Linked DNA regions of Oryzias latipes. Each later gene encodes a partner of the first gene's protein in a complex. Links are inferred from orthologs where the notes say so. Each region holds a gene or a part of one and is shown on either strand. Other genes may lie near its edges.

Evidence for each region.
Region 2: the proteins of srrt (region 1) and ncbp2 are in contact, whole or in part, in a cryo-EM structure (PDB 8PMP), measured with the Homo sapiens proteins. The link is inferred for Oryzias latipes from reciprocal best matches to the Homo sapiens genes SRRT and NCBP2. Residues at the interface, in NP_056992.4 of Homo sapiens: Asp857, Arg859, Ala860, Ile861, Val862, Glu863, Tyr864, Arg865, Ala869, Asp874; in NP_031388.2 of Homo sapiens: Ser48, Phe49, Tyr50, Thr51, Thr52, Glu53, Gln55, Lys67, Met71, Leu73, Met76, Lys77, Lys78, Thr79, Ala80, Tyr89, Asp107, Glu121.

What each region holds. Positions count from the first base shown.
Region 1 is NC_019872.2:15,813,499-15,817,319, forward strand, and holds part of srrt (serrate RNA effector molecule homolog), read right to left. Parts: coding exon 3,756-3,821; intron 2,541-3,755; coding exon 2,371-2,540; intron 906-2,370; coding exon 727-905; intron 654-726; coding exon 543-653; intron 456-542; coding exon 302-455; intron 215-301; coding exon 66-214; intron 1-65. UniProt on the Homo sapiens protein: Acts as a mediator between the cap-binding complex (CBC) and the primary microRNAs (miRNAs) processing machinery during cell proliferation.
Region 2 is NC_019862.2:17,994,039-17,998,364, reverse strand, and holds ncbp2 (nuclear cap-binding protein subunit 2), read right to left. Parts: upstream 3,008-4,326; 5' UTR 2,915-3,007; coding exon 2,840-2,914; intron 2,185-2,839; coding exon 2,098-2,184; intron 1,945-2,097; coding exon 1,850-1,944; intron 1,354-1,849; coding exon 1,215-1,353; intron 1,100-1,214; coding exon 1,001-1,099; 3' UTR 346-1,000; downstream 1-345. UniProt on the Homo sapiens protein: Component of the cap-binding complex (CBC), which binds co-transcriptionally to the 5' cap of pre-mRNAs and is involved in various processes such as pre-mRNA splicing, translation regulation, nonsense-mediated mRNA decay, RNA-mediated gene silencing (RNAi) by microRNAs (miRNAs) and mRNA export.

The DNA.
Region 1 (3,821 bases):
AGGCAAGTTTGTTCAGCGAGTCAACATTTTCATGCATGAATAAACTCCTGCTGCTTTAAACTCACTGCAATAATCTCCGCCTTGGAAATGGAGGGGGCAATGCTTCGCATGAACAGAGAGCAGGTCCTGTGCAGCGGTCTGGGTCTGGGGGAGTCATCTTTGGGCTTCTTCTCTTCCTTCCTGTCCTCTTCAGAGTTCTCCTTTGGCTTCTCATCTTAACCATAAAAACAATAAATGGTTCTAGAGAACTTTGTATTCACATTGAGAAGTCATATCAGGCAGCGTACATGCTCTTCCTCACCTTCACCCTCATCTTCCTCCACATCCTTGTCCTGGAGCTCTTCTTTCTTCACAGATTTGTCTGAGCAGTTGGAGATGGAGTCTGAGTCAGAGTCGCTCTCTGAGGGGCTGGCTTCATCATCGCTGTCTCCACTGCGCTTTCGCTTTCTTCTCGCCTACCAAAAGCGAGGAGAGCCGTCAGTCAGTCAGTCAGTCAGTGTTGCTCTGCCGTTCATTTCCTCTGGAGTAATTGTAAAAAGAACCTTTTTTGGTAAAGGCATTTCCTCTTTCACAGCTTCCTTCACTGATTCGTTCTTCAAGTCCTCCCCGTTTCCAGAAGCCTCCCGGTCTGTGCCGACAAAGTCATTCTCCTCCTGGTGAACAACTTCATCTTTAACAAAAGAAATATCAGAACCTTATTAGCTTACTAAAAGAATAAACTCCGACCTTTTCAGTTTTGTCCTTCTCTACAGGTTTGCCCTCTCCACTCAATTTAACATCCTCTCTCTTTGAGAGCTGATCTCCCACTGAAGCAGGGGCCGACTTCTCTTTGTTCTCTTCCTCCTCAGACGGCATGTCCAGGATGCGGAGGTCGTGATCCGTCCCTCCTTCCATTTTTATCACAGCTAAGGACACAACAAGGAAGAGGATGTGTGTGGTTATAGTTGTACAAAGACAGGGGAATCTAGTATTTAATCAACAAAATAAGACCCATTTAAGTAGAGATCCTTACATAGAACTGTAGAAAGTTTTAAAAAAATAAAGATGAAACAGCCTAAAATTAGATTCAATTACTCAGAAAAGTAATGCGCTATAACCCTTTAACTGCCTGCTCAAACAAACTGTGAAGCACTTTTAGAAAACATTAAACACGTTGATTGTGTGGATTACTCTCTCTGGCAATAAGCAGCAAAAAATATTAAAATTGATTTTGTCTTGGTTGGGTTGTTTAACTGTTAAGAAATAGAAATAAGAAGAATAACTGATGCAAATGATAAAAAAAACAAAACCTAATAATGTGGAAAGTTGCTTTAGTTCTAAAACACTGCAATGCAAAAACAAAAATTCATTCTTGCAAATACTTGATTCTAAAACATTTAAAAATGTTGCTAATATTTTATCCTAAAACATTACAATCGCTTTGATTATTCAGGAACCCCAATACATGTGCATGTAAGAAAAAATATCTGATCAATAAAATGATAGTTTTGCCTTTTAAAAACACAAACCTTCAGTGGCATCTAAATGACACGCATTCTGTCACGTTTAAACCGCTGTCATAATCAGAAAAATCACAATCCAATGTTCCTTTGTTTATCGCAGGAGTTAGGTTCTAGAAGTAACCCGCTGTTGGTGAAATCCACAAAGTAGATTTACAAATCTTTTAAGGCTGTCAAACTCCTCACTGCACACTTTATACACTTTTCTACATAGAAAAATACGCCCAGATTTATAGAATAAAATAGATCTGATCAAAATTGAAGATTTATGCAACTCTGGCAAGCTCAACATATTCTGTACAGGAGACAGCAAACTCAGTGCTCTGTAAAAAAAAAAAAAAAAAAAAGCATCCAAGGTGAACCGCACAATAGCGAGAGAAAATTGTACAGTTAAGAAAGACTTATATTTTAACATATTCATAGTGTTTTTGAATGGCGTATAAAGCTTACTTTAAAGTAATTAAGATAAACTATTAAAAACATAATCAAATCTCATCCTCTTTTTTTGTAAACAAAATTCAAATGTATCGACTTTGTTGTAAGACGTATGTTTCCAGAATTGTTTACTTATGTTTTTTCGCAACCAAATCTTTTTTCTTTTCTTCAAACGATTAAGAAAGCTCCTTTCCACCTCTATCCAGGCTTATTTGTGTGCAGCAGCCTTCGTGAATAAAGCTTGTGGACATACAATTGTAAGGAAGAGTAATTCCAAAAAGGTTTACTTTAGTAACTTGTAAGCCCACTTTTCAAATTTCCTGAACTTTAACTGAAGAAAAGCAAATAAAAGTGGAGCAGAGACAGAAAAGGTTGGCATCGCTATGTAGAAAAGCCTCAACTCCACATGTAGCTGTAATCCTCCCTGAGCTCTCACCAGCATCCAAAACTCTGATGATGACCGGGGATTGCTCAATGTCCAGGGAAACATGATCGAACCAGCCGTTCTCCATCAGGAAGGTGAAAACATTCAGACGGTTGTGTAAGGCACTGCGAGCCTCCGCCTTCAGCCGGCTGGCCTCATCTGGGTGATATTTGGACCTAAACCTGTGCATGGAGGACGGGAGGTCCACAGAGGAGTGGGAATGAAATGATAGGGGGTCAGAAAAACAGGGTTGAATTTTCTTTTTTAATCAATAAAAATTGTAAAAAAATAAAAAAAATATATCAAGCCTGAAAGGGCATCAAAAAATAAAATGTTAAATTATTTTGTTAGGTTTTCAACACATATTTGAAATAACATTGATTGATTTTAAGGAGAAATATTTTTTTAATTAACTTGACATCCATGTTAAACTATAATTTTAACCCTTTACAATGACGAAAATTACTTCAATTGAGAGTCTGAGATTAACTCACCAAATCATAAAAGAAAAAACGACAACAGAAATGATAAAAAAATGTAAGCACTTGCATATTCATGTCACATTAAAAATGTTAATCATTGAGTGAACCACAGTTACCTGTTGCTCTGCCAGTTTATTAACAAATAAATAAAAAGAGGTGGGGTTTCTTCTGTGAAAATGCGCTCCACTTCACCCCAGAGGTGTGCCTGAATACACACAAATTCGCTTTTGGGTTCTGATTCGATCCGAATATAAAAAGAAAACAGCGAAGAAAAAAAATCCTCTATATGCAGAGGACAGGTTGGCTGTCTATCTAGAATCCCTGATACTGTGTGTCTAGGAGCAACTGCATTGTGCGCAGTGCCGGCCCTTGCTATCTAAAAGCGACTCCTGCGGATGAGTTCCAGTTTTGCTCATCTTGAAAAAAACCGTCGTCAACGTGGATGTGGAATTGAAGAAGAATGGGTTAAGTCAAAACAGAACAAATTTGCATGATACCTGCGAAATAAGTGTAGTAAGCATTAACAAGCAGAATAAAACATTGAATTGTGTTTAAAAAACAAAAAAGCATTAAAAAAATCAACTCAAAAACAAACTATTTACACAAATCTACACAAAAATTAATCCGCACAGAAGTCTGATTACATTTTTCAAAAACATTGCTAAAGGTAATAAAATAGAATGTGGGTTGGTTTTCTTTTTCTTGATGCATAAATGCAACAAGAAATAGCTAAAATAGTTCTGTACCTCATACTGAAATTGTTCTTCATTAAAAACTTTAAAATGAATGATTGTTCTAACTTCTATATTGAAAAATCTGGTGTTTGGCCTATTCAGTCTGATCCAATCCTCGTGTACGGCTGATACACAGAAGAATCAATACATCACTGTGTGGAAAAAGCAACAAAGACCGTACCACTCTTCATCTTTATGAGCCAGAAAGAAGTCCTGCATCTGCTGTCGGCGAAAGTCAACTTTGTAC
Region 2 (4,326 bases), on another chromosome or scaffold:
ACATGGTTGGTGTGAAGAAAACTATAACTAAATGTTAGGTAGGATGACTTTTTTAAAGGTTAATCCATGTGAAAAACAGGAGAACTAACAACAGCTTTAAGAAAATTGTAAAAAGTCAACTTCTCTTAAAAAGAAAATCATCAAAAAAAGCAAAATTTCTTTTAGCATAGACTTAAATGATGCATCCTCATTTACATAAAGGAGATTGCAGCAAATATTTAAGTAATGTTAATAGCATACTGTTTTCAGACCTTTATAAAATTCATTACGTGGATTATAATATTCAATGAATTTTTTCATTTATTATCCATTTTGTATGATCAAAAGCTTTACAAATAAAACTGACAGTTTAATTAAATGTGTTTATTGTATAAAAAGTCTACAGAGACAAAATAAATTTAACATTTTGAATTCTTACCACAAGAGAAAAACAAACACAAAAAACCCACCCAATTAAACAAAGCTATAACTTTGTTAGAGAATTGCAATCAGAAGGGTAAAAAATAAAAAAGGAAACAGAAAAAAAACATTTCTTCAAAATAATTCACTGGATAATTTATTATCTACTGAACAAAAAAGTCTGGTATGACCCTTTATATTTCTTTAATTCCAAATAAGAGAAATAGGAGTGAGATGCTGCAGGTTTTTCAATTTAGAGAAAATGTTAACTGCACTCAAAAAGAATCATAAAACAATTTTAGAAAATAGTTTTGTAACTAACTGGTGACAAAAAAAAGAGTTAATAAAAGCTCCACCCCAGTAATGCACATTCACTACACCTAAACAAAATGTCTCAATTGTTAAGAAAAACAACAACATTCTATTTCAAATGGATTTGACTGATGATATCAGATTGAAATAAATGGTATTCATAGAAGATTTATTCCTTCTCTGTTCATCTCCAAGTCCTAGATCTCTTTGGACACTGCCTGCTTTTTGTTGATCATCAGGGAATAAATTCAGTCCTGTATGAAGTCCAATCAAAACACTCAGACTTGGTCTAAAAAGTATTGCGAGCTTCTGTGCTCCGCTGTTGCTGCGCCAGCTTCCCATAGCCTCCTCTGGCAGGATCGTAGTCCTGCCTGTACTCATCTCTCACCTACACAAAAACAGAGACAACAATCAAACATTTTCATAGACGTATGTACTTTGTGACGCAAACTGCATCAACAAACACTTTTGGACTTTTCACAGACACTTTAACCATATCTCACCTGTCCTCCAGACTTTCCTCGCCCGTACTGCCGGCCCTCTTTGAAGCCAGCATCCCAATCTGTCCTGATGATGCGATCATCCAGCCGTGTGCCATTAACGAAGCGCATGGCGTTTTCTGCATCTCCTCGTGTGTAATATCTGGCACGCCAGCAGTTAAATCCTTTCTAACAAAAGCTTCAGTCGGCTTGGGCTGCACTGGGATGTTACTGTCGGCTTCTTAATAAGTTTGATAGATTTCATGCAAAACAATTTCTACATTTAAACAGTTCTAAGGTATGTAATAAAACTAAGTTTGTACTCTGTAACCACAAGCAAAAACACTTTAGAGTGAACATTAACAGAATACCTACTATAACTGTAGTTAAGGTTTAAATTACTATACTCGCTGTGTGTTTTACAAACTCATTAGAGCCTAAATGGTGTAAATGTAGATACCTATGGAGCTTTGCCAAAATGATGAAGAAAAGTAACTGCCACAACACAAATCATGAGGTCTTAATTATTTAAAAGATGACAAAAATATTTATCAAATAATGTAAGTCATATGTTATTTAGGGAGATGGAATCACAAAATGTACATTTTTACCTTTGCATAGAAGATAAATCATCCATGTCTGGTTGTTCAAAAGGATACTCTACAAAGCAGAAGCCACAGGCAGTTTTTTTGACTTTATCAAGGCCGATGATGATCCTCTTAACATCTCCGCATTTAGCAAACAACTCATGAACCTGTTAAAAAGTCACCAAAGGAAAGAAATTAATTTTAAAAAAAAAAGACTTAAGACGTGAAAAAAAAAAAAAAAAAATTGACCTAATTATTTCATTACCAGGACTGGAGATCATAACTTCACATCAGTCTGAAGCAGAGTTGAAGAATCTCACCTGCTCCTCAGTGGTGTAGAAGGACAGATTCCCCACATACAAAGTGTTGCTCTGTTTCAGCAGCTTCTCCTGTTCATAACGGTTCCCCTAATACCGAACAAGCAATGAAAAATTGTCAACACTTGACAATTAATAGACATTTGGCACGAAAAAAATACAACACCTTTTTATTTCACCTCCTTTATTTCTTTAAGCTATAAATCAACCTGTGTAAGGCATTTTAAAAGTGGAAGGTTAAAATAAATAAATCTAATCTATAAATTTATTGCCCATTCGAAATGTTAACTATAGATTTTATTTTCTTGGGTCTTCTTGTGCTGCTGCCTCTTGTTGTCCACGTAGCACCCTTTTTTTATTTTTAAATATTTTTAAGATTCATTTATAAAAGGTTCTATATCTTCTAAAGCTTGATTTGAATTAAAGTAAAATTATGCATCCATCAAAACAACGAAAATAACGAACGAAACAGAAAAATAATTGTTTCAGTGTAGCAAAAGCTTTATTATTTTTATATTGAATTTGGACTAAGAAACAGCAATGCAAGCAATTAAAACGCGGTGTAATTAAGAGAATAACATGTTTGTTTTGTAACTTTACTAAAGCGATTGACAAGGAGCAAAATTATTGGTGCAATCAATTTAATTTTAAAATGAAGCATAACCGCGCTTTTGTTTTCACATGTTTTGCTAGCTTGATGGGTCTAAAACAACTCATATGACTTCTACGTTCATTTCTCACTTACCTTAAAATGTTGGTCCCTATACTGACTAACTTCAATGTAAGAATCGCTGTGTAAAGCGTTTAATTTAACAGACATTATGATGCAAACGGTCAAAAAGCCGCGTAACTGCTAACCAGTGTTAGCGTGAGAGGTATCAGTTCCGGTTGTGCGCTCGTTTATTGACTCCGGGTGGATATTTGACCTGGACATCTGACAGTCTTTGTTGTTGGAAACATAATTTTAAATACGATGAGTTATTGGTGATGCTCTTTTTCTACTCATGCTTTTAACTTTGTGATTAAAGGAAATATCTTTAACTTTGTTTTTCCTGTTATTGATAGATTTATTGCTTTCTTCTTTTGGGCGTTTTGTTCAGTTTTGCCTGGGTTATAGTTGTCACGTTTGTTCAAAGTTTGAAATAAATAAAAGCTCAAGCCTCATAAAAATTGGCGAGGAACTTAAAAAAAAGTATTTTCTGTTGTATGAAGATGGCACTTACAAAAGTCTATTTTTAGGTTAGTATATGTTGCCAATTACAAAAATGTAAAAACCTTATATTTCAAATGTTTGGATATCTTTCTTCTTTAAAATAAAATCACCAGCTTTTAAATCTGAATTGATATTTGCTTTACAGGTTTTTCTTTACTCTTTTAGAAAATATTGTAAAGTTTCTGAGATTCATTCAGAAACCTTTATGCAAAGCTATTCCATCTCAAGGGCACACAGAATTGCACCATCTTTGCATAGTATTGCACTGCAATACTCCAGCTGCAGACTATATGTGAAACGTGGAACCATGCTATTGGCTGCAGCCTGATTACAACAGTTTATTCTGTTCTGTCTTACTTTTTTCACATTTTTTTTAAATGTACATTAGATAAATGTTAGTATTTAAAACTGTTACTCATCCTTCTTGACTTTAACAGTTCTACTATATGCAAAATGCCTACTAACTGTCCAGAAGAGAAAACTTTTAGTCTTGTGCACAGATTTATCACATCTGTTTCTTGCTTTTGACTTCTGACACATTTAAACATTCAAAGTTCAAAAATTAATACATTGCAAAAAAAAAAAGAAAAAAGAAACAATTTAAACACAGGGTGGCATTTTATTTTTTGGAACAAAGTGAACACAAATGTTCCCCCCTAATCTGTTCCACTGATTCACTTTCATTGATTTAATGTAAATTTAACTACCTAAACAAATCAGAAATGTATTAGAGTTTGCATCAAAGAAATAAGAAATTAAGAATAACGTTGCTCAAAAGCAGGACAGTTCTTTAGAAAAGATGAACCCAGCTGCTGGCTGACAGTTTGCTACATAGCAAGTCCAAAACATGATCAGCTCATAATAAAGAGTTGTGGTTCTGCTGAGAAGTCTTGACTTGTATGTCAGTTTCCATCATGGTCTCCTTAATGCAACAGCAGCACCTGGAACCGGAAGACAAAACCAGAATAAATGAAAACAGTGGAAGACATGACAGGTGTTATAGTGTTATGGATGTGGGA